Nothobranchius furzeri: one gene and its partners. The protein of the gene in region 1 purifies or fractionates together with the protein of each later gene. This does not show direct contact. Links are inferred from orthologs where the notes say so. Each region holds a gene or a part of one and is shown in the gene's direction. Other genes may lie near its edges.

Evidence for each region.
Region 2: the proteins of polr2g (region 1) and gpn1 purify together in Homo sapiens (affinity purification with mass spectrometry; 4 studies listed by BioGRID and IntAct, counting the BioPlex papers as one, with this or other methods). This does not show direct contact. The link is inferred for Nothobranchius furzeri from reciprocal best matches to the Homo sapiens genes POLR2G and GPN1.
Region 3: the proteins of polr2g (region 1) and scaf1 purify together in Homo sapiens (affinity purification with mass spectrometry; 3 studies listed by BioGRID and IntAct, counting the BioPlex papers as one, with this or other methods). This does not show direct contact. The link is inferred for Nothobranchius furzeri from reciprocal best matches to the Homo sapiens genes POLR2G and SCAF1.
Region 4: the proteins of polr2g (region 1) and ctdp1 purify together in Homo sapiens (affinity purification with mass spectrometry; 4 studies listed by BioGRID and IntAct, counting the BioPlex papers as one, with this or other methods). This does not show direct contact. The link is inferred for Nothobranchius furzeri from reciprocal best matches to the Homo sapiens genes POLR2G and CTDP1.

Annotation. Positions count from the first base shown.
Region 1 is NC_091741.1:90,870,931-90,878,778, reverse strand, and holds the start of polr2g (DNA-directed RNA polymerase II subunit RPB7), read left to right. Parts: upstream 1-3,105; 5' UTR 3,106-3,258; coding exon 3,259-3,270; intron 3,271-3,518; coding exon 3,519-3,628; intron 3,629-3,785; coding exon 3,786-3,945; intron 3,946-4,096; coding exon 4,097-4,147; intron 4,148-4,236; coding exon 4,237-4,302; intron 4,303-4,458; coding exon 4,459-4,530; intron 4,531-7,848. Other genes in the region: uncharacterized protein si:ch211-175m2.5, read right to left, coding at 701-831, 2,198-2,297, 2,373-2,540, 2,606-2,659. UniProt on the Homo sapiens protein: Core component of RNA polymerase II (Pol II), a DNA-dependent RNA polymerase which synthesizes mRNA precursors and many functional non-coding RNAs using the four ribonucleoside triphosphates as substrates.
Region 2 is NC_091749.1:65,739,695-65,747,072, forward strand, and holds the start of gpn1 (GPN-loop GTPase 1), read left to right. Parts: upstream 1-3,333; 5' UTR 3,334-3,372; coding exon 3,373-3,507; intron 3,508-3,861; coding exon 3,862-3,955; intron 3,956-6,577; coding exon 6,578-6,684; intron 6,685-7,378. UniProt on the Homo sapiens protein: Small GTPase required for proper nuclear import of RNA polymerase II (RNAPII). May act at an RNAP assembly step prior to nuclear import.
Region 3 is NC_091758.1:13,827,288-13,834,761, forward strand, and holds the start of scaf1 (splicing factor, arginine/serine-rich 19), read left to right. Parts: upstream 1-3,429; 5' UTR 3,430-3,664; exon of another isoform or gene 3,665-3,716; intron 3,717-7,474.
Region 4 is NC_091751.1:1,629,482-1,636,847, forward strand, and holds the start of ctdp1 (RNA polymerase II subunit A C-terminal domain phosphatase), read left to right. Parts: upstream 1-3,321; 5' UTR 3,322-3,530; coding exon 3,531-3,826; intron 3,827-4,716; coding exon 4,717-4,800; intron 4,801-6,866; coding exon 6,867-6,960; intron 6,961-7,158; coding exon 7,159-7,287; intron 7,288-7,366. Other genes in the region: adck5 (uncharacterized aarF domain-containing protein kinase 5), read right to left, coding at 46-246, 343-418, 725-874, 946-1,037, 2,588-2,611. UniProt on the Homo sapiens protein: Processively dephosphorylates 'Ser-2' and 'Ser-5' of the heptad repeats YSPTSPS in the C-terminal domain of the largest RNA polymerase II subunit. This promotes the activity of RNA polymerase II.

The DNA of each region.
Region 1 (7,848 bases):
GGTTTCCATTTCTTTCATAAAAAACATCAAATGTGTACTTGTAATAAATCTTGTTGCTTTTATCACACTGTTGGACTGACTTTACCTGTTGGCTCTCAAGCATTGGGCTAGCCTCATTACCACAGGATCTCTTCCGTCTTCACTTTCATAGGATAAGGCTGGACACATCTCTCATCGTCGGTTCAAATGTGCATCATTCAGTTCACAGCTGATTGTGATTTAGACCTGATTTTCAACAGATTTTATTATTCTAGAAGAGAAGCAAACCTGCTGCACACAGCTGGGCAGTTTTATTACACTTCATACCCAGGTAAGGCACACACATGTTGTCCTCAGCTTTAATAAGATAACCCAATGCTTGAGAGCCAAAGGATATAAAACAAGTCCAACAGTGTGAAAAATGCAACAAGGGTTTAAAAAAAAAAATAAATAAATAAATGAAAATAAAATAAAAAACAGACTATTTAGCAAAATTGGACAGAATGGTTATTATAGCGCTAAGTTTGCATTTTCTTTACAAAACATCAACCGCCATGAATGCCGTGTTGGGACTGGGCCTCTGATGTGGCAATCTTCTAGTTTGTTAACCAGATGCACCAGAGCTTTTTTTCCCCCAGAGTACACCTTCCAAGGCCATCAACACTCTCCAGCTGTCTCATGAATGCTCTTAAGTGGAACACAAACGACCTAAGACTCTCACCTGATCCGCGAGTGTTGGTTTCTTTGAGTAGACACGATGCAATGCGCTGTGGGAAACCACACAGTAAAGACACTTGTTGTGACTGCTTGTTGCAACGATGATCAGCTCACGATCTGCTTTTGTCAACCCGCCTGGAAGACATAAACAGCACAAAAGGACAAAGCATTACATTGGTTGTCACCTACGCACATTTCTGTTGAGGGCTTGAGGAATTAAGGGTTTTATTGCCTTTCTCTCTTTCCCGCCCTTCCCCCCCTCCCTCGGGAGATGTTGCCTAAACTCTACCAGTAAACCCACACATGCACGAGGAGAGCGTGCCAACTCCGTGCAGAAAGACTGTACCTGCTCACCTTGCTGCAAGCAACAGTTCTACTAACTGTGCCACAATGCAACCTCCAGATGCTTGGTTAATTCAAATAAAAATTTAATCCCAGAGGGAAACTGGCATCTCATAATGAAGCTGCAGCAGCAGGCGGATGTGTGACAGGGAAGCTGTGGGTCAAGGGAGGTTAGAGGAGAGAATTTTATACTGAACCTATAAAAGAACATGTTCAGTTCAGGGTTTGTCATCAATCTGATTCTTCTGCTTAAAGCCACGGGTCTCCTACCCTGCGATTAAACCTCCATGTTGTTTTGCATCTTGACTTTGAGGAGTTTTTTTTATACTCCTCAATAATCTCCTGTCTCCACTCCTCAGTTAATGACTAACTCGATTAAAATAAAAGCCTGTAAGAACTTTTCTTAGATGGCTATATGAAGGAGAAACTTGAAATCATAAGCAGAGCATGGCTGATACTAAGATTCAGGTACCTGGTCGAGTTTGGAACGGTTTGGGAAAAATCTCTTTAAGAGTCGTTTTGTGTTTTGAACCCTCCCACTGTCCTAATAGGCGTGACCCCGCGAGGAAAACAGACCATTGAGCAGGGTTGATGGTTTATCCCTTGAATCCATGTGGCAGGGGTGAGTAGTGAGCACCGCCTCACCCCTTTCCTTGCGGGGTCACCCATAAAGACAGTGGGAGGGTTAAAATAAAAACGTTAGCTGCTTGATCATCTGTTTAACACTTGCAGTCTAACTTTAAGAGTCACCTGTTTTCTTTAGATGTTCAGTTAGTTAACATAATACATACAAAATCCACATTCCTCCCAATTGTTCTGCAAAAACAGAAAGAGGTAGAGACACAAATTAAACTTGACTTATTGAAAATATATTTAACAATTTTTTTCACTTTCATCACGTGATCATCCGCTGGAACAAATCCAGCATCACAGCTTCTACAAAAGGTTATCCTCTAGTCCTGTTGAGTCATAACACAGGACAAACATCCTTATTTGCAACACAAATAAGAAGTGAACGAAGTGTTTAGTTCACTGAACCCTGGCTTGGACACGTTGGGAGGGTTGAAGGTGCTGAAGAACGGGTTGCTTTTTATTCTAAACACTGCATCGTGTGTCTGTATTTATCTGAACTGAGGCCACTACATCAGAAAAAACCAACCTGTGTCCTTGTTCATCAGTTCATTGTAGTAAGCGAAGAAGGCTCTGAACTCAGCTGGTCTGTGGGAGAGGGCTTTGAAGACATTTGGCAGGAAGCCTCCCTGTGCACAAATATGAGCAGATTAATGATAAAGGCGTGTGATCGCGAGACCTAAAGGCTGGTTTTAATTTAAAACCTTTGACTCCACTTCCTCCATGAGCTCAACTATATCATAAGGCAGGTCCTTCTTGTAAGGAATGGGATAGCGGCTGATCTTCTCCGGAAGGGTGCCGGAGGACGGTCTGGTCCCAGCCGCCACTGCAGCCACCTTACCCCGAAACAAGCGACCCGACCGGAGACACGCCTGCACAGACAGCCGAAGAGTCAGATAAACAAAACACACAATCAAATCTACGGTTCGCTACTTACAATTTTAGAGGTGACAGGAAGACGAAGCAACTTGAAAACGAGGTTGCTCGCCATGACAGAAGGAGGACTTGGAGAGTAATTTTAACCACGGAGACAAAATTCCTATTTTCTTTCTAATGATGTAGCAGAATTGTTTATTTTAATCTATTTCGTTCTTTAAAACTTCAAACCACCTGTAGTGTGGTCCCAATGACCGCTAAACAACATGACGATTGTGCTAAAGTTGGATTACTTTCACCTAAATAAATTGTTTTCGCTTCGTCTGTGTGTCAGATAAGAGTCCACTAAAAAACAGCCAATCACAGAGCGGCTTTCAGTCACGCCTATTGTTTTCCACGCCTCTCTGCAGTAATACTTCCTCGCCACAAGAAAGCAGTATTAAAATGAACCGACGGTGGAACTCGTTTAAATCGGATTACTTATTCCGTTAATTGTTTTTAAATAAACAGTTTTTAAAAATCCCTGAAGATAATTTTATTTTTTTTATTTCCCGTTACAATACAATTTACAACAAAATTTCAAGAATCCTCTTTGACCCGGAAGAGGTTCTTCTACGCCGGACGTCCATGATTCCCTTTCAACAAAGAACAAGAGAAGCCACTTCGACGTATTTAAAAGTATATTTTTAAGGTGGAATTTAAACTTATCAAGAAATGTTTTATCACGTGAGTATGTACATTGTTCTCGTAATCGGGGGTAGCTGAAGGCTTAATGGATGTTTCGATTTGGATCGTTTATCAACAACGTCGTAGTCTTTCCCTCTTCTTCTAACCTGGACTAGTTTTCATATTTTTAATCAACGTGACATTTTATTCATCCATTACTCAATCTACAGAGGCTGGTTTATGCATTTTTAAAATACGAACGTGTGCACAACCAATTTACAGATGAAGGATTTTGTTGCACTTTACAGATTTCTTTGGAGCATGAAATCCTTCTCCACCCCAGGTACTTCGGTCCCAATCTACTTAACACCGTGAAGCAGAAGCTTTTCACAGAGGTAGAGGGAACTTGTACTGGCAAGTGAGTAACAGCATTTTATTATTGTTCATGATAACTTTAACTGGGCTTTGCAACGACTGAAAGCGTTAATGAAACATTGACTATGGCATAACTAGATCAACGTGTTGCTGCCTTGTTAAAAAGTTGGATTAACTCTTTTGTTTTTTCTGTTTCCCAGGTATGGATTTGTCATTGCAGTAACCACTATCGACAACATCGGAGCGGGTGTCATCCAGCCAGGCAGAGGTTTTGTCCTCTATCCAGTCAAGTACAAGGCCATTGTTTTCCGCCCGTTTAAGGGCGAGGTGGTGGACGCTGTGGTCACTCAGGTTAACAAGGTATGGCTCACTCATCTTTAGTCATTGTTCTTCGTAGCAGATCTTAATTCTTTAGCAGAACTTCACGCTTGTGAAAACTAAACAAATTGAGGATTGTTATGCCAGTACGTTTGCGCCTCGCCTTTTTTAACCTTTTTCTGTTTGCTTGCAGGTTGGATTGTTCACAGAAATCGGTCCCATGTCTTGCTTCATCTCTCGCCATGTAAGTCTGTTAAAGCATCGGTTTCACTAGAATCATCTTTTTATTTCATTATTTATTTAATGTTGTTTTGATCATATTTTTATTTTCAGTCCATCCCCACAGAAATGGAGTTCGACCCCAATTCTAATCCACCTTGCTACAAGACTGGCGATGAGGTTGAATATCTGTAACTTTTCTATTTTACTGCTGCTTGTTTAAACAGTCATATTAATAAAAATCAACTTCAGCATGTAAAAAGTTCTGCTTTTTTTCCCCCTAATGTGTAAATGTTGCTCTATCACACTTTTGTTGATGCTTCTTACTTTTTATAGGACATTGTAATCCAGCAAGATGATGAGATCCGGCTGAAGATCGTGGGAACACGAGTCGACAAGAATGACATTGTGAGTTTATGTTCTTTTTTAAAGTCACTACAGTTGTTTAGTTCATGTTTCCTTATTACTTCATATTATTTATACACACTGCCTGGCCCAAAGAAAAGCTGCCATCCAAAAAACGTCACACATTCCAATACTTCGTTGGACCACCTTTAGCTTTGATTACGTCACACATTCGCAGTGGTGTTCTTTCGATGAGCTTCTCCAACGTCACCAGATTTGTTGCCATCCAGTGTTGCATTAATATTTCACCAATATCTTGCATTGATGGTGGTAGAGTCTGACCGCTGCACAAATCCTTCTCCAGCACATCACAAAGATTCTCAATGAGGTTGAGGTCTGGACCGTGGTGGCTGATCCATGCGTGAAAATGCTGCCTCATGCTCCCTTGGGGCGACGGTGGCACAGGAGTTAAGTGCTCGCCCCGTAATCGGAAGGCTGCAGGTTTGAGCCCCGCTCAGTTTGTTATTGTGTCCTTGGGCAAGACACTTAACCCACATTGTCTGCTGGTGGTGGTCGGAGGGACCGGTGGCGCCAGTGCTCGGCAGCCTCGCCTCTGTCAAAGCACCCCAGGGCAGCTGTGGCTACTAGTGTTGTCAAAAAAATCGATACCCAGATATAAATCGATACTAAAAGTGGTATCTAAATGAGATATTCCATCCCTGTGGTATCGATATTATGGACTATTATACACAGCCTTCTTCAAGTACACCGACACGCACGACAGCCAGATGCCGTAAAGCAGCCTCCGCCTCCCAGACAAACAGAAGAAGAAGACGCCGCATGGCTACATTGCAATTTCCCACGCGAGTTGTCTCCGATCCAAGTTTTGTCTGCCAAATAAATAAACAAAAACATAAACAGCGAATTTGGGAGGCGCTTCACAGCCCAACTTAATTAGCATACCAAGTCCAACACGTAGTTGTATATTCACGCTTATGTGCTTAAAGGAAAACTCCTGTTTATTGCAACCCGGACTTAATTTCTAGCATGCAGTACGTTTGTTTACTCACGCTGACAACTTTGGTGCTACTTGGCAGAGGTGGAAAGTAACGAATTACATTTACTCACGTTACTGTAATTGAGTAGCTTTTTTGTATATTTATACTTTTTAAGTCGTTTTTAAAAGCTGTACTTTTACTTTTACTTGAGTAAGTTTTTAAAAAAGAATTGTAATTCACTACATTTTAAATGATATCCATTACTGAGTAAAAATAAATTATAGGCTTAATAAATTAAAAATATTACGTGTTGCAGCGTCGGAACAGAAAGAGACACCTGCATGATCACCGCGTCTTTTGCTCAAAGACATCAGTTCAGTCGATCAACTCGCTGTTTACCTCCTCTCTCTCTTCTCTCCTGTGGGTTGGAACCCGCACCTTCGCGCACCGGTGTGACGTCATCAGAAATCTGCTCGGTTCGGTAGCCGGACTCGGTTCCGTGTTTGAAATGTGTTTCTCTACCGCTCCGCATGGAAGCAGCAAAATAACGTTTAGCGCTCATAACAAGCGGATTATCAGCGCTCTGCTCATCAAACAGAAGACCTGCAGGCCTCTGTGAGTTAAAACATCCTGATACTGTTCAGGTGTAAACATTGTGCTCCATCCCTGTGTCTGAACTCAGAAGATGCTTCTTGATGCCACAGATATGTGATGATTTAGCTTGTTTCTTTATTTTACTCCAGAATAAGAGATTAAATTATTACTAAAGCAGTTCAATGTAGTTAAATTAGTCATTCAAATGATTCTAACATGCTGCTGTGTGTGTGTGTGTGTGTGTGTGTGTGTGTGTGTGTGTGTGTGTGTGTGTGTGTGTGTGTGTGTGTGTGTGTGTGTGTGTGTGTGTGTGTGTGTGTGTTTGTGTACACATATAGGACTGCATGAGACAGCATGGTTTCATCAAATCCATGCATCTTATATCTTGGCTGAAGTAATGACTCAGGAAAATAACTTATATTTCATAAATAATGACGTCAGTGTCTATGATAATATTTTATCTTATCTTTGGTCTGGGAGGTGTAACATATCATGATACAAGCCTTTTAAAACATGTTAATGTGCTACAAGACGAGATAAATGCATGAATTTAAAGTTCATGTTTGGAGTCCAACCTTCACAGTTTGGAGGCTCACGCTGGTGAGGAGACACCGTTAGTTCTAGTAACACCTGGAAGGATTCCAGTTGGACAATTGGAGGATTATTTAGGAGGATTGGAATGAACAGACTGATTTCAGTGGTGAAGGGTTAAATGAGTGAGTGAACCCACTACCAAAGATGAACTCTGCTAACTTTAAAAATCAGCTGCTCTAAATACGCATGAAGGTCAGAGAGGAGGTCTAGGATGGACATGGATAAAGGAACTGTAATGTAGAGGTAAAGTAGGGCAGGGCCAACGTTAGCAGCTGTCATACGGTCCATCTGAAATGTTTGACTTTCATTTAGCTTGTTATGTGACAGGTTAGAGCACAGTCTCATGTTAGAGTTTTGTCATGAAAACATTGAGATACCTCACATGCTGATGGCATCTAAAAATAATTTTTTCTCAAAATAAAGAATAATTTTAATCACAATTGAAACTTACCATCCTAGAAAAACCTCGTCCAATCAATGTGCACGTCCTGTTCTCACTGATTGGATAGAAATCCCTCCTTCAAGCTGTGCGTGTTTGAGTGTGTGTGTGTGTGTGTGTGTGTGTGTGTGTGTGTGTGTGTGTGTGTGTGTGTGTGTGTGTGTGTGTGTGTGTGTGTTGTGAACTGGCGTTGTGATTTAGCACTACTTAGATGTAGCCATCCTTACACTGACAAAAATGTAACTAAGTGACTTTTACTTTGAGTACATTTTGTTTACGATACTTTTTACTTTTACTTGAGTAAACATTTAGGCAAGTACTTTTACTTGTAATTGAGTAAAAAATTATCAAAGTATTGGTACTCGTACTTAAGAAGGAAATTTTAGTAGTCTTTCCACCTCTGCTACTTGGATTCCCTGGGGTATTTAGATCCATCGGCGAATCGCCGTCAGCGTATATCCATATAAAGGGTGCGGACGGGCACCCATGGTGCAGCCTCGAAATAAGACATTATCTGAACCAAAACATCTCAATGTCAAAAGGTTTTGTTAGGAATCATTAACATGATCCCCCTGTTCGTTTGGAGCGGGTCTGGAATTTCTAGACGTGAACAGACTAGCCGCGGCTAATCTAACCGGCGCTTTTAATGACATCACTGCCGTGCGCCAATCTGTTTTTATTAAGATTACCTTTGTCCTACTGTGGATAAATTCGTTTTCTCCCTTTATTGACCAACAGAGTTGTTCAAAAGTACAG
Region 2 (7,378 bases), on another chromosome or scaffold:
TGCTTTTATAAATAAGTCATCATTCCTACTCTACTGGTGATGCCTTAAATCAAAGCTGCAATGGCAAACATGGAAAACAAATGAGCTTAAAATGTTTTTCATGCCTCTTAACAAGGTTCTAACATAATGAAGCCAAAAATATGTTGTGGGGATTTAAAAAATGAAAGAAACTATTAAAGTGGTTCTCTCACATTTGTCTAAAAACCTTCACTAATAACACGTTTCTGACCAAAAGCAACTATTGGATCATCGGGTTGTCGGTCTCAGCGAGCTGCCGTACTTCCCTGGGTCCTCCACTCATTACACACTCATGTTTTTAGCACCAGAACACCACTGGTGTGAGAGATTCTCCGCTTCATAATGTCAGAGGAGGAGAAACAGCCGGCTGCTACCACTTCAGCTTTAGGACAAACTACCAGAGTCCCCAAAAGAAAAAAAAAAAAGAACATTTGAAGTCACAGACAACAAAAAAAGTTTGGACCTAAAACAGCGACTGGTGTTTAGCACCGTCTCGTTTCCTCTGACATTATGGGTTTCCAGTTCCGGCAGGGAAGATACCCGAGGAGAGGGGTGAGTGTTCTTTGGCCGTTGTTGCGTTTCAAAACCTAGCTTGTTTGCAGATGCGCCATGTTCCCCTTAGACCTGGAATTTTTATGGGATTTGCTTTGACCATTTATGGCAGAACGTGTGTGTAGGAATTGGATGTGATCCAGAAACTTCCGAGCACATTTCTAGGAAAGGTGTGATGTATAAAGCAGGAATTGAGCTTAAGCAGAGTTTTACTTCATCTTTTATGTAAAGTTTTATAAACGAGGCCCCTGTTTTAAATCAAGTGAACACGAAGAGCGTTCCATCAGAACCGGCTGCCGGGTCACCTGTCTTAGAATATAACCGACTAAGCTGTAAGATCTTTGCAATTTTCAGGTTCCACACTCTGATTGTGTAATAAGAACATTTTTGCAAAACATTGTGAGGCCCTATTGTTCAATATCAGTTACCACGGTGACAGTAGTTTCCTCCTCAGATAGAAAAGGGAAATTTTAAATGCACGGATCCCACAGCAGATCCGTACTTTCCTCTTCGACCTTATCCCTGATCCTTTGCTTCTGTCTGAAACAAAAGAAACTGATTTAAACAGCAGGATCATCACATGTCCGTGACCTTTCACTTCCTGTCCCATTTGTGCAGAAACAGAAAGTCATTAATCTGTAGTCATGGACACCAGAAATCACAGCGCGTTTCCGTAACGACAGGATAAGCTGTGGACATCCGATCTCTGGTCTTCAGGACCCTTTCCTGTGGTTATGTGTCAGAGCGTTCTACAGGACTGGTTCACACATGCCTCTGAAGTCTCAGGAGGTTGGTTTTGACTTGACTGATGTTGCTGACAGTGTGAAATCTGATTGGTTGAATTGAATTGGACTAAACTAATCACATTTTACAAAATCATGCTTAGTGTGAGAGATTTCTGTGAAGTCACTGATGCTGCATTTCAGTGACTACATGCAATTTAGTGGGTGCCCATAGATGGAAAACTTTTAATTGGAATGATGACCTGAACTTACAGTGGTCTCTAGTAGGAATGGGAAAAATAGCACTGATGCACTATTTTCAGGAACTAGTAGGCAACATCACAGCTGAATGAATAAATGAATAAACATAAACAGCTGAGCTTCAGACGGCAGGCTTTGGAGTCTTATTTCCTGATATTTGGACATCTTGCCTCGGATTGGATAACAGCATTGTGACTCTACCACTGGCTGTTAACGCTGCAATGTTGATGTTTTATCTCCACAATTAACTCAAGCCTAGAGGAGTTCTGCTGTGCGGGGGAGTTGCTAATGCTAACGATTAGCTTCTATTAGCTGAGACATGCTCTACCGTTTCCTGGACGCAAAACCAACAACAACCGTCCCCGATGGGTGAGTCCATGAATGTTAAGTGACAGTGTGCTGTAGATCTTTCAGGATTTTCTAATCCTAGAATTTCACCGTCTGGTTTCTATCAGAAGCTGATGCAGGACTGGAGATAGGTGTAGGAGACTATTTTCATGTTCATCTTGTATGAAAAACTCAGAGTGGCCTGTTATGATCATAAATAATGATTTAAAATGTTTTCAGTGTTCCCCACCTTTAAAACGTTAACAGCAACCTCACCTCATCATCTGATCAGCTAACCTAAACTGACCTAACCTTAAGTTACCCGAGTGAGAGATCGAAGGAGTAGAAAAAGAAAAATAAGGGAATTTTGTTTTATGATTCTCTAGATAAAATCACAAAGGTGGTGATTTGAATAGAAGTATTCCATCTCCTATCACCTGTACTGGGTCTAGTGGGTTTCCCAGCATAGAAATGGTCCTGATCAGCTGACCTGGTCTCTTCCTCTCTGCTGCTGCTCCATCAGAATATTCCAAAGATCATGACTGCAATCCCAACAGAGGATTTTAAGGTCTCCAGGAGAAACCCCTGCTCTCCGAAAGGCCAGAACTTCCTCCTTGAATGAGCCATCAAAAAGTTTACAGAGTTCATTCAGGTTCTAAAGGAGCTCACTATCTCACTCTGCGTCTGTTCCCTGGATGGTCCCCAGCGTCGTGAGTCTGCACCAGCTGTTTGGTATTCCCTGTATTGATCTGAAGACACTTCAGTTGGCTCCAGTCCATGAAGTCCTGGTTCCTCCTTCTGTAAAGAGGACAATCCATTACTGATAAATTTCAGATGAGCTCAAAACGGATCTGAGCTGATCTCACAACTCAACTCATGTTCCAAAAAACAGTGGTCAGTTTTATTTTCAGCACTTTGACAGGCTGTAGTGAAAAAAAAGAATTAAAATGAAGTTTCACAACAAAATGATGCTTAGAGTTAAAAAAAAGACATCAGTTGTCACTGTGGCGATTCTCAAACTGCAGCAATGAACTGATGAAGGCATTTCTGAAGTAAATATGTTTTTTAAAATGATTTTTACAGCAAACCGTTTTTTGAAAATGTTCAGCTTTCTACAGAAGACTAACACCCAGCACCAGTTCTGCTGGGATTTTAGAGGTGCAAAGTTTGTTTGATGTGAACTCATTGAGTCTAAACGCATCAAAACTTCACTGTCAGAAAAATAATTTTGCTGTAATAAAGCCTCCATTGGCTGGAAACCAATAATTATCACCCTAAAAGACTGAAAATTTAACAGATTTTTAAAATGAGTACTGTCAAAACAAAATTTACTATGTATGAAAATAATTTAGCTATATACATGTTTTTGCTAAACAATAACTGCTAATATTTGTTTTTAGTTTGGCGCCCTCCGCTGGTCACCACAGCTGTTGCACGTCCTGTATTTTACGACATTGCCTGCGCCTTGACGGCAAGTTCAGAAGCCACCAACATGGCAGCTGCGGCAGACACAGAAGAGTTACCGGAGAAGAGCTCGGTACCAGGAGGAGGCTGTGGTTCGGTGGGCTCCCCGGTGTGTCTCATCGTTCTGGGCATGGCGGGCTCTGGGAAGACCACCTTCGTTCAGGTGAGCTCCGACCAGGAGGCGCGTGGCGAGGCAATGAGGACTCCGTCTGTAAAATCCTACTGCGTTTTCTCTGTTGAAGACTAGATCCGTTCCGTAAACGGGGTTTGAGTTAATTTGGTGGCTAAATGCTAGCAAATACTTCCTAGTAAACAGGCAGGTGAGTTAACCAGCGGTAGTTGGCCCGGTGCTGTACGGGGTCGATTAGCAGTTTTCCTGCTCTTTTTCCTCGTCCTACAAGTTCAATATTTTTATACTCAAAAGTCTAGTAGATAAATTTATTAAAGCCTAGTTTTAATCGGAGACAAATTAATTCAACTGTGTGTGTGTGTGTGTGTGTGTGTGTGTGTGTTTCAGAGGTTGACAGCCCACCTCCACTCTCTGAAGTCTCCTCCATACGTCATCAACCTGGACCCTGCTGTCCACGAGGTGCCATTTCCAGCCAACATTGGTGAGGATCAGTCTATTTCCTGGATATCTGAGGCTCCGTGTTGTTTCTGACTTGGGTTTTTCTTCCCACAAAACTCAAACGTTCCCCACTTTGCCCAGGAAGGTATTCCAGAAAGTTTAGAACATCTGGGATCTCCTGATAAATCCCTGCTTGACAAAGCGCTCCCCTCCCCTCCCAGTTTCGCCTGCTCCACGAATGATTTTCCAGTGGATTCAGTCCTCTTTAATCCCAGCGAGGATCGAAAATCACGGCTCGCACATAGGGCTGGGCGATATGGCCTCAAATCTATGTTGCGAAATAATCTGAAGCATGTGCGGTAACGATATATATTGCGATATATTTTTTCCTCTGTCATGTCTGTCAAAATGACATGCTTTTAAATATCCTCATGTGGCAAATATATGCCACTTGAGGCATATAGGCCTCCTCCTCTGCCCACTTCATGCTTGCAGTCACCGCCGTTCTGTTGTCCCAGTGTCAGCAGGGTGCACATCTTAAGCTGTTTTTATAGGACCGTAGCGTTTTTAAAACGCGATTTGCCGCTTCATCCTGGGGAAGGTTTTGGCATTTATAGTAGCAAAGCTGAAGCTAGAATAAACCGCCATCAGACACCTCTCAAACCAAGATGGGATATAGGGAGGTTGCTGGTCGCCCCCCCCCCCCGCATGTGACGTACAGGGTCGCGCATTCAGCGTCAGACGGAAGACACGTCAGACTGATGAAATTTCTTTTTCACGACCTTTAGCTTTGATGTGACCTGCTTTTTGCCCCGCTTGACGCCCCGCTCAGCCCGTGTTTCACCACTCTGTCGAACAGCTGGCTGTCTCTCACCGTCCCCGTAAAAAGGCGACTAATCTGTTCGTCCGCTCGCACGGCCAAAAGCTCCATGGTTTCCGCGTCCGTCCAGCCGGCTTTCCTTCCGGCCGGCACCCGACGCGCAGTACATGTGACTAACACGACCACCCTCTTTTGCGGGGGGGGGGGGCTCCCACAGTCGCTCCAAAGGGATTAGCGGGGCTGACACGCGTTTAGCCGACAGAGGCAAGGGGCTGATGCGCCAATATTACTATCAAGCGAGGCGGAACGAATGCTGCAAAATTCGTGCAACGCCATGCCGGCATAGCGCGTTCATGGACATACCATTGCGGTAATATTACGCCGATATGCCGGCATGGTGTGTCCTATAAAAGCACCTTTAGTGGCGTCATGTGTATTTAGTGTACGCCTGCAGGTACTGATGTTTCATTAGAAAATACATATTTTCAGAAAAGGAACTTGAGCCTTTTCTCCTGCAGCAATGACTTGTGGGTAATACCCTTGCCAGAGGTCCGCATCGCTGCAGACTTGGGTGAAGTGCAGATTAAGGGTGCAATGGGGACGTGGTCAACTTCCGCACTTGAGAATCGGGACACCCTGGCCGGGAACGCGCAAACGAAGGGCGCAAGTGCGACTATTGAGATTGGGCCTGTGTGTGTGTATTTGTCAGCGGCTCCGCCCTCTTTGTCTGCCCAGGCAACGCCACCTTGTGGTGCATTTTTCAAACAGGAAATTGGAATGGAGTTATACCCTGGTAGGAGGTGACGTGCTCTTTAAAGTTTTCATCACTTATGTGTCGTTTTCATGTTCTGCTCCAGAGTCCGGATGTTTAGAGACTGGAGGACTTTGTTTTTGCTGTGAGTTTTAAGAAGATACGTTCGTGGCGGTCACGTGACCCTAAAGTTAGCGCTGTAAACCGTTTAGCACTCATATTACACACCGAGGACAAAACATCACGTATGTCGAGTAAATATAGTCACACCAATGAAGTGTTTCATTTACATGTGTTATGCTAGCAGCTGTAAGGTAGTTTAAGGCTATTTTAACATATTCATAAAGAGGACAGCATGTTAATGATATGGGTCCATCCCAGACTAAAGCTGGTATATAATTATACTCATTAATAATGCTGACATCAGGAGCAACATCAGTGGAATGAAACACTCCTGGTTGCAAATGAAGATTAAATGCAAAACATGCTAAGATGTAGATCCAATTAGAAGTCAGTTTTAAAAGTTTAAACTCCACATTTATTAATAATTTAGTCATCCAAAGCAAAGCTGCAGCTGCTGTTACCGCTGTGGGCCAGCAGTGGCGCTAACTCACCTCTTCCTAGTTGCCAGCCACCGACAAGAAAAAGGTGACGTAACGTGCCTCCTCGTCCAATCATATTCACAAAGCTTCAGTAAGCCTAGCAGCTAGCCTGCCACGGAGCAGGTTTGTTCTCCAGCATGCGTTACCATGGTGACTGGGAGGGTTTCAGGCTAGCCACGTTTGTAAAACCGATTTAGGGACGGTTGCACAAGAAAGCCTGGTTTTGGGAAAATTTCACTTTCTGGAATACCCCCCTGAGCAGTCATATGGGGCGGAGCCTATCTCAGCTTTACATAAACGAGACAGGGCTATACCTGGACAGGTCACCAGGTGTGTGATCTAAGGTCAGATAATTCTTGTTTTTAGCCGTGAGCTCCACAGAGGAAGGTCCAGCTGGACTCAAACATATTTCAATTATAAAGTTTAAACACAAAAAGAGAAATCTTGCCTGTTGCTCCTGCGGCTGTCTGCAGACTGTCCTCTCGTCCACAGACATCAGGGACACCGTCAACTACAAAGAAGTGATGAAGCAGTACGGTCTTGGACCAAATGGTGGGATTGTGACGTCACTCAACCTGTTCGCCACGCGTTTTGATCAGGTAACCCTTTTCTTCATGACTGACTCGATTAAAAAGGACATAAAGTCATTTTCTTCTGTATAAATCAGGAAAATGAGAGTTTACTAAAAGCTGCTATGGGAAATGTGTTGTGATGCTGTGTGTTAAATATCCAACTGTTAACTACAACAGTGAGCCATTTTAGTGGATCACGCAGAGCAGGGATGTCGGAGCTCTTAAAATGTAAAAACATTCATATGATTTTATGTCTCCCCCCTTCAAAAGAAGCACGAACATTTATGGCCTTTTCCCACTAGCGTCTGCACGGCACAGCTTCACACAGTTCGGTTGTCGGACTCTTAAAAGAAGAAACTCGGAAAAGGCTGTGGGCAGCAAAACGAAATACTCCGGAGCAATCGGTGACTCCGCCCTCTAGCCAGTCATAGACTCCACCCCCTAGCAAACCGGATCCAGGAAGTGTTCTGATGTTGCATTTTCAGCCCAGTTCGGAATGCTTGGATCCACAGCGACCTGGTATTAGTGGGAATGTCTTGGAACTGGGCCGAGCTGCGTAGGTATGGGTGGAAATGGGCCCTAAGATCTTCAAAACTAGCCGGATCCTCCTGCTGCAACCAACTTTCTGGAAGACTAGATATTAAAATCAAGTCCTAATTGCTGACTGACGTGTTTATTAAACCACATCTGAGTTTGTTAGTTGGTTTACGTGTTCATCAGT
Region 3 (7,474 bases), on another chromosome or scaffold:
CACCCTGTTCCTTTACTCGTTATTATTTACGAGATGTGTCTTCAGGATCCATCACTCGTTCAGTGCTTGGACCTCAGCAGGCTGAGTGAAAGCATTATGGCTCCACATCAGCCCTACCTGAATGAATTTTATCGTCTTGTGGATGATATGTTTAGTGGGGGCCCCACTCTTCTCTCTGGCTGCCTCAGCCTTTTAAGCCCTGGGGTGAGGTTGAGCGACCCCCACTAAAAGGAGACATGTTGGGTGTGTCCAGTGGTTGAGCTAACCAGTGTGGCGTAAACCCATCCAGCTGCGCATTATTCCAATAGCAGCTAGCTTAAGGGCTAAGACTAGACGAAGTAGAACGTTGGTTACGTATTGTAACCCCAGATTCTATGAGTCTAGTCGCAGCCCTTAAGCCAATGGCCCCACTGGTTCTGTTAGGACTAAGAGCCATCGGAGGTGAACAGTGGAGTTGCTCCACTTATATACCCACAGGGGTGCCCACCATTGGTGGGTGTACATTTAAGCTCTTCATGATGCTGAAGATCATCCTTCCAATAGCAGCTAGCTTAAGGGCTGCGACTAGACTCATAGAATCTGGGGTTATAATACGTAACCAACGTTATCTACTGTGTAAAACACTTTTGATTTCTCATTTATCTGTATTTGTTGTGCAGCTTGAAGAACCTAAATTGTTTGTATGTTCTGTCTCCTTCAGGGTTCTGGTACTGGAAAAAGGACAGATGGTGGAGTTTGACTCTCCCTCTAGGCTCATTGCTGAGAGAGGACCCTTTTACAAGATGGCAAAGGATGCTGGGCTGGTCTGAAGAAGGAAAGGTCTTCTTCACATTGCTGCTGTAGACATTTGAGTTTGAAACAATCAGGAAATAAGCTAGACTTGTTCTGATTAGAGTTTTGAGAGTACACTCCTCCTTGTTTCCCCTCCTGCTCTGTCCTTGGGTTTTCTGTTATAGCCTGGTGCTGTCTGGCCTGTTAAAATTCTGCCCTCACAGTTTCTTACCTGAAGGAGCATGTTCCAAACACTGACCTGCAGTTGAATAACCCTGCTGATGTTAACCCTAACGCTGCTGATGTCCTGGAAGTTCGTACATCAGATGTGCCAAATTCTGCCTTAATTCCTTTTAAAATGTAGATTTAAGCCTCAGCAGTCCTTTAAAGGAGTGTTAACTTCCTGGTGTAGCAGTAATCTATCAGAGTCTGTATGAGACTTAGTTACTGTCATACAGCTTCAGACCAACAACCAGTCGTGATCTGGGGCCTTTATGATTGGAAAAAGCTCCTTCTGGGAAGAAACAAAGGCTGGTGAATAAAGTTAGTGGCGTTATTAGCTACTCAACAGGCTCCGCCCCTACAGTTGGTTACCATGGTGAAATACAGGCTCCGTCCCTACAGTTGGTTACCATGGTGAAACTACAGGCTCCGCCCCTACAGTTAGTTACCATGGTGAAACTACTGGTTCCGCCCCTACAGTTAGTTACCATGGTGAAACTACAGGCTCCGCCCTTTGCTCTCTTGAACTCTGGCTGGAATCTGGACAGACTCTGTTACCAGCGCTGGGGTCAAGTCGGGTTACCCGGGACTCTGAGGCAGGAAGAAGGTGCCTCGGGCTTCACTTGTCTGCTCTCAGGGTGTCTGACTCATGTTTAATTTTCCTCTTTAAAAAGCAGCTGGGCTTGTTTGGATAGCTGTTCAGAGGGGCTTGGCCCTGGGACTGCCTCTTAGCTTGAGCTCACGGGCAACATGAACGACCTCGCTGAGATCAGGCCTGATGATGTCACAATACCAACCATTAGAATCTCACAACTTTGAAGCATTTTTCTCCCTCCTCCTCTTTCCCTCCCTCCTTGCACACACACACACACACACACACACACACACACACACACACACACACACACACACAAAGCAGGGACCCCCAGAAGGGTGTGTGTGTATGACTTTCAGAATGTAATACACACATTTTTATGACTACAGGAGACTCCAGCCTGGTGCTGAGCCTTCACACATCCATCCCATCAGCCTCGGCTGTTTTAAAACATCCTAATGGATGGACTCAGATTTTTGTGATGCTTCACAAGCAAAAAGCTGGAACAAGTTATAAACTTGTGTTCCTTCATCCTCTTGTGTTGATGCAACTTTGTAACTGGTTTTATTGCAGGTAGATTACATTATTAAATTCATTTTGCTTTTCGAAGCCTCCCAAATACATGGAGAGAAACCCCACAGACGTTTCCGTTTGCACAAAAGAACGCCAAATTTTCTGTTGACACCAAATCTGATTTGCATTCTGCACCTTTACAATTAACATTAGAAGATCATAAAAGTTGGTTTAAGACGTGAACATGATGGCAGCTAGTTGTTGGTGGACAAGCTATCAAGATTTCTGTTACATTTTATTTTGAAAACCAACAGGCAATATAGGATGTTGTGTTTAGTGTTATCAGCAACCTCCTGGTGCTGATGTTACAAGAGAGGCTTTATGGGACAAACACAATAAATCAATAATAATAAAAGGACATGTTAAATGTGTGTTTATAGAGGTTGTAGCACCACCTGATTTATTCTTTTAATTACCAAATGATGGGCTGGTGGTCTTTTTGGGGGTGGTTGATGAATGTTAGCTGAGTTCTGTTTGACTGGTGTGAATGGTTCTGTGTCTGTTTTATATAATTATCATTACAAAGTAAACATTTCATGTTTTAACTTTGCATTGTTTTGGTTGAATTAAGTTTAAAAATAAAAATTATTTATCTTAAACATTAATCTTGTGTTTTTTACCAGCCTCTGATCCACTAACATACCACAGCACCAGTGATTAAACACCGTTATATCTGTACTGATTTGGCTTTGGTGAGAGCTTCTGTGTGTTTCATTAACATCAGTGTGAAGTCGGCCCAGAATCTCATGTGAGAGCTGAAAGTTGGACCAAAGCGGGTCATGAAACAGAAGCATGATCCAAAGTCAGCAGCTGATCTACAACAGGATCAAGGTGCTGGAAGGATCCGATCAGCTGCTGTTGCAGCAGCCCGTCTTTAAAATGAAGAATTTGTTTCAATGGCTGCAGAAGGATGTTCACGGCCCTAACGTGCACGCATCAGTGAGCGGATTCCTCAAATGTTATGTAGTGGCGTGACACGTTTCTGTTTATCTGAGCTGGTTGTTTAGTTGATGCGTTGGTTAGGCGGTTTTAAGAGGAAATTGTTTATTAGCCAGTAATTAATCAAAAACTTAAACTGCTAAAACAATCCAGTTGGAGCTCAGTCTTCTTTATACCTGTATAATTTTAAAAAGACCAAAACTTATCCTGTCATTGATCACTCAGTGATCCATCAGGTTTATTCATTATCTCTGTGGCAGACTGGCAACAGAGATGACTACATCAGAACTCCGTTTCCCAGGATGCCTTGCGGTCCGGCTTCAGGGAGAGGAAGATGGCGGTGACTAATGGGCTCCTTCGCTGTTGTATCGACTAAAATCAGTAAAAAGCTGTGATTTAAAATGAAGTTGACTGTATTAATATAGTTTAAAGTTAATGCCAGACGGGGACTGTCTCTCAGACTGAAGACTGGGCCGGACTGGAAGAGCTCATTATCGCTCAGATGCTCTTTCTGTCGGCTTTGAAGCTAAAGCTACTTGGTTAGCTCGATACTTGCTGGCAAAGGTTTGTGCTCAAACGTCTCGGTCAGACGTAGAGGAGGTATTTAGCGTTGGAGGTGAGCGGACATCAGTAAATAAGTACCTAGGTTATACAATAAAATCTTCATAGAACGTTTATTCTGTCGTTTAGCTGCGTTAGCTTGTTTTGTGTCATGTTAGCACAGTGACACACTAAACAGCTGTCATTGGTCAATCCTTCAGCGTAAACAAATCAGCATTTGTCCAGGTTATAAAAGATCCTGTTGGTGGAAAAAATTCACGATGATGATTAAGATGACGTTTATAATGATGGTGATTGTGATGGTGATGATGGTGACTTTCATGATGGTGAATGTGTTTATGATGATGGTAGTTGGGGATGCCCCGTTCTGATATCGATGTCAGAAATTGGTCCGATATCGGCCCAAAAACACTTATGGGTTTTTATCAGCTTAGTGGATTAGTGGTAGAGTGTCCGCCCTGGGACTGAGAAATCAAGGTTCAAATCCTGGTCGGGTCATACCAAAGACTTTGAAAATGGGACCCAATGTCACCCAGCTTGACACTCAGCTTTAAGGGGTTGGATTGAGGAGTTAAACCACCAAATAATTCCCGAGTGCAGCCACCACTGCAGCTCCACCGCTCCTCTCCATGGGGATGGGCCAGATGCAGATGAATTTCACCAGTGTGTGATGATGACTATGGGACTTTAACCTAATCGGACTGCATCAAAAATCTTCGATATTAACAGTCTGTTCCGCTTTAAATTTAATTCCACCAATTCTATCCAGCATGCAAAGCCCACAAGATCAGAACAGTGCATGCTAGCAAAGTTGCACAGAGCAAGAGCAATGTCGGCCATGTGGCAGTATTCTGTTATACTTCCCGAGGTGGAACAGAAGCAGGAAAGTTTAATACGTCCAACCTCATCACGTGTTTGAAGCAGCATCACAAAACACTGCCTGAGGGTTTTTGCAGTGTGTGAATTTGAAACGGACAATATTGGCCCAATCTCAATACTCGCTCTGTGCCCTGCAGACGTCAGCAAAGTGCACTTGGAGAAAGTGCCCTGTGAGGCTTCGAGTGCGTAGTACACAAGTGTGCAAATAATTGCAGAATTGAGACCGGGAGCGTTGCGTCATTGATCGCAACGCATGCCAGGATGCTGGTTGCTGTGATACTTTTTCAAAAACCTTTATTAACAACTTTTAAACAAACTGCTATACAGTTATTTGAAATAAATTTACATTTATTGCTGCTTTGTCTTAAAGTTTTAGAGCATCAACTAATCATCCTAAAATGAACTAATTTCATTAGAAAATACATATTTTCAGAAAAGGAACTTGAGCCTTTTCTCCTGCAGCAATGACTTGTGGGTAATACCCTTGCCCGAGGTCCGCATCACTGGACTTGGGTGAAGTGCAGATTAAGGGTGCAATGGGGCGGGGTCAACTTCTGCACTTGAGAATCGGAACACTCTACGTACTCGCACCACTGGCCGGGAACGCGCAAATGAAGGGTGCAAGTGCGAGTATTGGGATTGAGCCTTTGTTTTTTGGTGATGGTGGTGGTGGTAGTTTTGATGATGATGATAATAAAGGTGTTGTTGATGATGATGATGATGATGATGGTGGTGATGGTGGTGGTGTTGATGATGTTGATAAAGGTGTTGATGGTGATGGTGGTAGTGGTTTTGATGGTGATGGTGATGATGAGGATGATGATAAAGGTGTTGATGGTGGTGGTGGTGGTTTTGATGGTGATGATGACGGTGATGGTTTTGATGGTGATGATGATGATGGTGGTGATGATGGTGTTGATGGTGATGATGAGGATGATGATAAAGGTGATGATGGTGGTGGTGGTTTTGATGATGATGATGATGGTGGTGGTGGTGGTTGTGATGAGGAGGAGGAGGATGATGAAGGTGGTGGTGGTGGTGATGGTGGTGGTGATGGTGATGAATATGATGAAGGTGGGGTGATGATAATGATGATGAAGGTGTTGGTGATAATGATGATGATGGTGGTGGTGGTGGTGACGATGATGATGATGGTGATAATGATGAAGGTATTGATGATAATGATGATGATGATGGTGATGGTGGTGATAATGATGATGAAGGTGTTGATGATGATGGCGATGGTGGTGTTGATGATAATGAAGATGATGATGACGGTGATGGTGATAATGATGAATAATAATAATGATGATGATAATGATGATGAAAGTGGTGGTGACGATGATGGTGATAATGATGATGATGGTGATGGTGGTGTTGATGATAATGATGATGATGATGGTAATGGTGATAATGATGAATGATAATGATGATGAAGGTGGTGGTGATGAAAATGATGAAGGTGTTGATGATAATGATGATGGTGATAATGATGATGAAGGTGGTGGTGATGGTGGTGACGATGATGATGATGGTGATAATGATGATGATGAAGGTGTTGATGATAATGATGATGAAGGTGGTGGTGATGGTGGTGACGATGATGATGATGGTGATAATGATGATGATGGTGTTGATGATAATGATGATGATGGTGGTGGTGGTGGTGGTGGTGACGATGATGATGATGGTGATGATGATGATTAAGGTGTTGATGATAATGATGATGATGAAGGTGATGATGATGGTGTTGATGATAATGATGATGATGATGGTGTTGATGTTGATGATGATGAAGGTGTTGATGATAATGATGATGGTGATGATGATGAAGGTGTTGATGATAATGATGAATAATAATGATGTTGATGATAATGATGATGAAGGTGGTGGTGATGATAATGATGAAGGTGTTGATGATAATGATGATGGTGATAACTATGATTAAGGTGGTGGTGATGATGAAGGTGATGATGGTGGTGGTGGTGGTGACGACGATGATGATGATGGTGAAAATGATGATGAAGGTGGTGGTGGTGGTGACGATTATGATGATGATGATGATGATGATGATGATGAAGGTGTTGATGATAATGATGATGGTGATGATGATGAAGGTGTTGATGATGATAGCTGGTGGTGGTGGTAGTGACGAAGATGATGATGATGATGATGATGAAGGTGGTTATGATGATGTTGATGATTAAGGTGTTGATGATAATGATGATGAAGGTGTTGGTGATGATGATGATGATGAAGATGATGATAGCTGGTGGTGGTGGTGACGATGATGATGATGGTGATGATGATGATGAAGGTGGTTGTGATGATGATGATTAAGGTGATGATGATGATGATGATGAAGGTGGAGTGGTGATAATGATGATGAAGATGTTGGTGATAATGATGATGATGGTGGTGGTGGTGGTGACGATGATGATGATGTGATAATGATGAAGGTATTGATGATAATGATGATGGTGATGGTGGTGATAATGATGATGAAGATGTTGGTGATAATGATGATGATGGTGGTGGTGGTGGTGACGATGATGATGATGTGATAATGATGAAGGTATTGATGATAATGATGATGGTGATGGTGGTGATAATGATGATGAAGGTGTTGATGATAATGATGATGGTGACGATGATGATGATGGTGATGATGATGATTAAGGTGTTGATGATAATGATGATGGTGATGATGATGGTGATGATGATGATGATGAAGGTGGTTGTGATGATGATTAAGGTGTTGATGATAATGATGATGGTGATGATGATGATGATGAAGGTGGTTGTGATGATGGTGATGATGATGATGATGAAGGTGTTGATGATAATGATGATGAAGAGGATGATAGCTGCTGGTGGTGGTGACGATGATGATGATGATGGTGATGATGATGATGAAGGTGGTTGTGATGATGA
Region 4 (7,366 bases), on another chromosome or scaffold:
CACTTAGTCCCTCTGCTGCAGCGTGTGCTTCGTTCTTTGTCCCACCTCTTTGTACTTCCTGTTCAGAGCCTTGTCCTCCAGGATCTGCAGCGTGCGGATGTACTCGGGCGGCAGCAGGTGGTTGAAGGAGCACAGACCCTGGCCCAGTTTGATATAGATTCCTCCATTCCTTGTGGCTCCTTCCACCATGTACTCTGCTGCCCTCTGGTGGCAGGCTGACATCTGGCGCTGGTAGGATGGGCTGTTCTGGCGGAGCGGAAGACGAAACCAGCTTGAGCTACTAATAAACTTCTGATCAACATCAAACATTGATCCCATCCACTCTGATGGCATGAAGCTTACTTCATCCAGTCCACGCAGAGTCACGTTGGTGGTCCACCAGTAATCCACGGAGATAAAGACTCCCACGGATAAAGACCTGAGGGCACAGGCAGAGATGCCACTGGGACTTTACAGGTTTTTTTCTTTCCTACAACTCGTAACGGATCGTATTTATGTGATTTTCTGGAAACTTATTTAGTAAAACATAAATATCAGTAATTAAGCCATATGCACAACACGGATAAAAGCCAGTGAATCATGCTGGCAGTTTTAACTTTGATGTTTTCTGAACGTGTTTCTTCGTGCGAACAAGAGCAAAATCAGTTCCAAAAGACTCTGTTCAATCAGCGTTGTAACAAAGTTCTGTTGAAATTATCGAGTAAATAAAAAAACACAAACACACCTGAAGAAACGTCCAAATCCCTCAATCACGATTCTCATCTTCCTCCTCTGCCTGTGGTCTGACACGGCATACTGGGCACCCACCACCACAGGTACGCTGACTGAGAGGCCTAAAAGGGTCTTCCATAGCAGCTCTCTACGTTTCCGCTCCCTGGAAGGGTTAAAACAGTTCTGTTTAACTAAGGAAGAGGATTGTTGAGGGTATAAAACTCTCTTTGACACCTGAGTGAGCAGAAGGATCTGGTTGTTTGGAGAGGCAAACCATGATGTGAAGATCTTTGTAGAAGAGCCAGGTGGTGACTGCATATTCTTAACTGGGAAACAAAAAAACAAAATCCTTTGTAACCCAGCAACACACAGGTAAGCTGATAGTGAGAAAAGATCAGATTAGTAGGTTTGGAACAGGGATTCAAGCATGTGTGCATGTTTATATACTGAGAGGGATGGGAATGGAGTCCCATCAAGGCCAGTCCGGTGTTGTTTTTGTACGCTGACTCAACACGGGACAAAATGTCTTTACTGCTGACAAATTGATTTACAGATAACGGGGGGTGCCAGTGACCTCCACATCAAAGGTGGTTTTCTGTCGGTCCAGTGACACCCTCGCAGGGTGGCCAGAGGGGGCCATGGCCACCCCTAGAAAACTGTTGGCCACCCAATTATGTTTTAGTTAAAATGTATTTAAATGTTATTAAATTCTATAACAATTAAATTGGAAACAATAATTAAAATAACAGCATAAATTGTCTTTTTTTCTAAAATGTTTCTATTTCTCGGATTTTAGGTAAAAGTGTTTTTAATGAGAGAAATTGAAGGCACAGAGCAATGCGCAGCTACAGGCTAAAGCCTGATTCATGCTTCTCCGTCAGAGCGGAGACACGCAACACCATTATCCGTCCTCGCGGGCCTGCCGGAGAGCTCCGCAAGGACGGACAGAGTCTAGCTCTCTTTTCTAAACATCCATCCGTCGAGACGGACAACGCAAGCTTGTGATTGGTCAGGACGCCGCTGTTGTCTACACCGCCGCCACTGCGCCCTCAAAAACATAAAGAGAGCCGAGCGGCAGAAGCGGAGCAGCTTGAAGAATACCTCGCAAAAAAAAACCTAAAAATATGAACGTTTAATCCCCCGTGACTGGAGGAGTGAAAAGATGCGCAGCAAGCGTTTTATTTGTGGATGGAAATGACAGGAAACGTGGGTTTCGAGGTGGCGAGCGCATGAAGAGGTGGAGGAGAATGAGAGACAAATATGTCCGTGTTAAAAAGTCTCTTATATACAAAAAACACAATATAAACACACTATCTTGGACCGATACATGACAGGATACCACAGAACAGCGCTACGCCCTCTGCTGTCCTGGCGGGGAAGTGCATTGCAACGCTCCACAGGAGACGGAGAACATCTCCGTGCGTGTCTCTCCCTGTTGGAGCTGATGGAGAAGCATGAATCAGGCTTAAATCCTCCATTATTTACCACAGGAACAAATTTGGTGCCATCTCAAATTTTGCACTGGCTCCCCTCGAAGAAAACTTTCTAGGAGCGCCACTGCGTCAGGCACACATTTAGACCCTTGAGGACCACAGATGTACTGGACCAATCAGGAGCTCAGAGTAACGAAGAGACAGTTTTTGTTTAGTTGCCAAACTGAGATGGAACTTCAAACAACAGATGTTTTAATGCAGTGAAATATGAATAAATAAATATATTAAGTTGAATTAAATGACTATCAACTTGCACATCTAGCTTTACTAGTTGCATAGCTTGATGATAGCTAATAATCGTTAGCTGTTAGTCAACAGGTTAATATCAATGACTATCTTTGCCAAAACGATCTAGACATAGATTCAGATTTTTGTTTATTTACCACTCCAGAAGTCCCCCATGTCATGCTTCCCTCTGATAATATTAACACCCTGCTCACAGCCGTGAATTCTTGTCAAAGAGGTCGCCAGCAGTCTGAGAACCTTCTTCAGCTAACACTAGCATGACTTTTGGTCAGAAGACTGGAGTGCAAGAGAAACCGCACCCACCCACTTCCGTTTTCGTCTTCTTATTTAAAAATAAAATCGTGGAATCCGCTGAGTCCAATATGAGTGCATGTCCTTATTTTATACAGTTGGTAAACACGCACAACTTTCTGTCATTTTGAATTGTAAACTGGAATAAAGTGCACAGAAGTAAGTTTGAAAGTCCAGTGTAATACACGGTTTTGAAGACCAAATGTGTGATCCATTGAATTTTATCAGCGCTTTTAATTTGAAGGGCAAGTAGAAAAGTGTCCCGTTCTTCCTGTCCGCCTGCTTACCGGTGTCATGTCGAAAAAAGCACCCTAGCCATGAAGCGTAAGATTTGACGTCAGTCCAAAATCTGCAAAGATTCTATTACTGTGTGCTTTTCAGTGTAAATACGATCATCTCACTTCTAAACAAAATTAAAATTACTCCCCGTAAAATGTGGTGTTTTAAAAATCGTATGTAAAAAATATGCAACACAACCTGATTGACATCAAACTTTCATTCAAATGTTATTTTCAAACCTTTTCCCTGACCAGTGTGACAGGGATACACTTTTCGGCAAACCCCTAGCTTTGCGACGTGCGTCGCTGCAGTGTTGCGCTTTCCTGTTTACGGGCGGGAAGAGCGAACGAGACAGCAGCCACGGTGTTTAAATCTCCAGGACATTTGTTTTATTGATCAAACACGTGATTCGTTTGCTACATTGACACACTGGCCATCGCGAGGTGGGTTTGATACGTATAAAGTGGACTGGTGCAGAAAACGAAAGAGGTTCTGGAGACTGCAGGACAGATGGAGGATCCTCCTGCTGATTCTGGTGGCGGCGGCGGCGATGCTGCTGCGGAGGGCCCCGCAGTGCAGGTGGCAGATATGTGCTCTCCCAGCGGGGCTCTCCCTCTGCGGCTTCTAGAGTGGAAAGTCAAGCCCGGATCTCTGGTTAACGTGGACTCTGTGCTGGCACTGTGTGCTCCCATGCCTCGGGAGAAGGGGACGGGGGCTGCCAGGCTGCCCGAGAAGAAGGTGAAATCAGACCGTTCTGGAGTAGTGAAGGAGCTAGGTTGTCAAGTTGGACAAATCATTCCTCCAGGGTGAGTCGCTCTGTTTACTACAGCACACCCCTTCTAAGAAAATCTACAGCCAAACAAATAAAAAAAAGTTTTGAAAATACTTTTTTGAAAGCATCCCTGCTTGAACGTCAGTTAGCCAGTAGCTAACACGGCTAACTTGATTAGCATTGTTGCTAGTAAGTTAACCCTAAAACAACAGTTGTCTTGGAAGTAAGAGCGGAAGTTCGTATACGTCAGTCTCAGAATTGGTTTTAAACGTCGTATTGTGAATTTATCCAATATATTATGGAACATGTGTGGAAATAAAAGTGTGTGCGATCACCGCTGCTGTAAATTCAAAGCTGCGTTTTTCAAGAAGAGCAGGCGATACTTTTATTTTGAAAGCACCACCATGCTGGGCAGTGTTGTGGTGTGTTTGAGTCAACAATCAGATCAATATAGGAAGAAAACAACACGTTTGCACAGTGCTGTCAGGGACGTTTTCAGGTTTTAGACAGTCAGGAAACAGGAAAATCATTACCTCACTCTTCATTTACTGATATAAACCTGAAGTGATGTAATTATATTATTGCCTATTCTTGTGGCCTTCAGGTGCATTTTGTAAAATCCTACTTCAAACAAAAAAAAAACCATGCTGTTTTTTTATTTGCAAACATGACAGCTTGATACTAATCAGGATTTAACTCAGCCTTAATTGTACTACAATAAAAGTGTTGCCTTCATTGGATGAATCAGCTTTATTTAATTTAATTCTAATTACATAGCAGCACCAGTGTGTGTGTAGCCCATTTATTTGTAATAGTGTAAATAGAGACAAACATCTATATGAGCCACAATAGCTGAAATACGTGTTTAATAAACATGTGGGTGCTGTAATAATTGTTTTATTCTCTCACCATCTGTCTTTTTAGTGGTGTCATCGTCAGGATTGAACAGTGCAGCCATCCCATTGTCATGAAGGGCTTGTGCGCCGAGTGTGGCCAGGATCTTACTCAGTAAGGACACATTGACTCAGAATCTACTTGTTTTCAGCTGTTGCTCCTCCTTTCCCAGTTCCAGATGTGGATGGACATTGTTTCTGTTTAGTTATTGTTGGACACATGCTGATCATTTAAAAAAGTTGGTAAAATAGGCTGAATAAATGTCATGTTGCAGCGAGAGCAGTGTTTGGTACTAGGGCTGTCGCGGTAACCGCAAAAATGAAATATCGCGATATGAAGAAGCCCACCGCGCTGCATCATGCGCCACCGCGATTACTGAACTTGGTTCAACTCAATGATGCATGTTGAGAAGGATGGCTGCACTGGTATCAAAACGAAACGTTACTTCGCTCCTTTGGGAGCACTTTGGTTTTCAGTACGTCAGCTGCTGCGCAGCCAGAGTCCTTGGCCGAGACAGAGCTGCCACCAGCGGCAAAAATAAATAAATAAATAAATGCTCGGAGACCTGCTGAAGTCCCGGACAAGCACTGCTTCTGCAACCGTCCCGAAGAGAGTTGGAGCCGAGCTGGAGCTCACTCGCTACCTGCAGGAGGAATGCATCCACCCTAAAGAAACCCCCTGACATGGTGGAGCAACAACCGGGAGAGATTCCCTTTGCTCGCCAGAGTCGCACGCAAGTACGTGTGCGTTAGCGCAACGAGCGCACCATCCGAGAGGGTTTTCAGTGTTGCTGGAAATGTTGCCACCCCTCTCAGATCCTCTCTCAAACCGTAGTTAACATGCTGGTTTTCCTTGTAGGTAACAAGGACGTGGCCGAGCTATAAAGCACCGTCATTCGTGTGTGTGAAAGTGAAATGATAGTGCGCCCGCCCCCCGGCGCGCGCGCGTGCGCCCGGTACATGTAATTTTTTATGCTTGATTTTAAACAACTAAACAAAATGGGGACTTGTTTCTTATTTGTTAGATGCTGCAGCCAAATTTGCATTTAAAAGTTTAACCTTCTCCTGAATTTTGTTGTTTTTAAGTTCAGTCGGACTCCGACTGTCGGAGAAACAAACGTTACTGCGATCTGTGTTGTTACTGCCCTTTGATCTGCATTCAGTAAAGTGTTATTAAAGAAGGCACGGCAATTTTTAACCTTTTTTAAATGTGTAAACATTATGTTTAGATAGTACTGCAATAAAAAAGGGCTGCAATAATATCGCACACCGCAATATTAAGCCACCCTGAATCACCGCAGGAGGAATTCCTCAACCGCGACAGCCCTATTTGGTACTGGGTGTTGTTCTGTGTGGTGCCAGCGGGTGGCACCAGAGATCACACATGGATGTTAGGTGACTTTGATGCATTTCAAGGATGTTTATATAATTTCTGCAAGGTTAGCATGTTACATATATTTAACCAAAAACAAGACTCAACACCGAGTCGTCATATAATCTGATACATGGCTTTTGCTACGCTGGGTACAGCAAACACCCAGGTGGTAAGGGTTCATTCTTCCTCATCAGACAATAATGAGTAATAAAAACAACATATGAGGGGAAATTATGTTATGATACTGAATTGCCATTTAAAAGCAACGGATAGATTTTTTTTGAGAATTTACATGCAAACATTAACTATTTATTTTGTGTGGTGCATTTCAAACTCCGACTGCTAGGTGGCAGCAGTGTGTACCACCTTCATTCTGACGGAACAACCAGATCTCGCGATGACACGAGCTGTGTGTTGGAAGTGTGTGAACCGAGTTTTCCAGTTAAAATTTTGGGGGGTTCATTTACAATTAAACCTAATCGATCAATAATCAAAATAATGAAATCATAAAAGTCTCAACTGTTTTCAAACACGCTGCTGGTAGAACAAGAACAAAAGCTAAACCAGAAAAATGTGACGCTGCATGTATTTAATACAGAGACCTCAGCAGTGAGATAAAATGTCAGGGCATGCTTTTGTGGCTTAATGAGTCCACGTTGGGGGCTCTGGACGCTGAACTGCTGCAGGCATGAATGCATGCATTTGCATGTTTGTAATAAATCCTTTCAGTCACAATCTGCTGAAGGGTCTGAGAGATGCACAGAGGGCAGAACTCCTACTCTCTCTCTCTCTCTATCCCATCGTAGGCTCCAGGGAACAAACGGGAAGCAACAAGTTCCCATCTCCACAGCAACAGTCTCCATGGTTCACAGTGTCCCTGAACTGATGGTCAGCTCTGAGGTGAGTTATATGATGGAAGTGTGTGTGTGTGTGTGTGTGGCTTCATATAGCTTTATTAGAAAATTTCACTTGCCTGCAAATCTGTGAAAATTACAACATTAAACCAATAACACTCCAATATTATGTGAGGTTATATATATACATGTGTGTAGTTGAACTTTATCCTACATTGTCCTTTGTTTGCATTAATTTGCACAGCAAGCCAAGCAGCTGGCCAGAGAAGACCAGCAGAGACTCCATCGAAACAAGAAGCTGGTCCTCATGGTGGACCTGGACCAGACTCTGATCCACACCACTGAGCAGCACTGCCATCGCATGTCCAATAAGGTAAAGCCGGCGCCTGCTGGTGCTCACAATAACATCACAATAATGAGACTGTTATGTTACAGTGGTGCTGTTAAAGCAG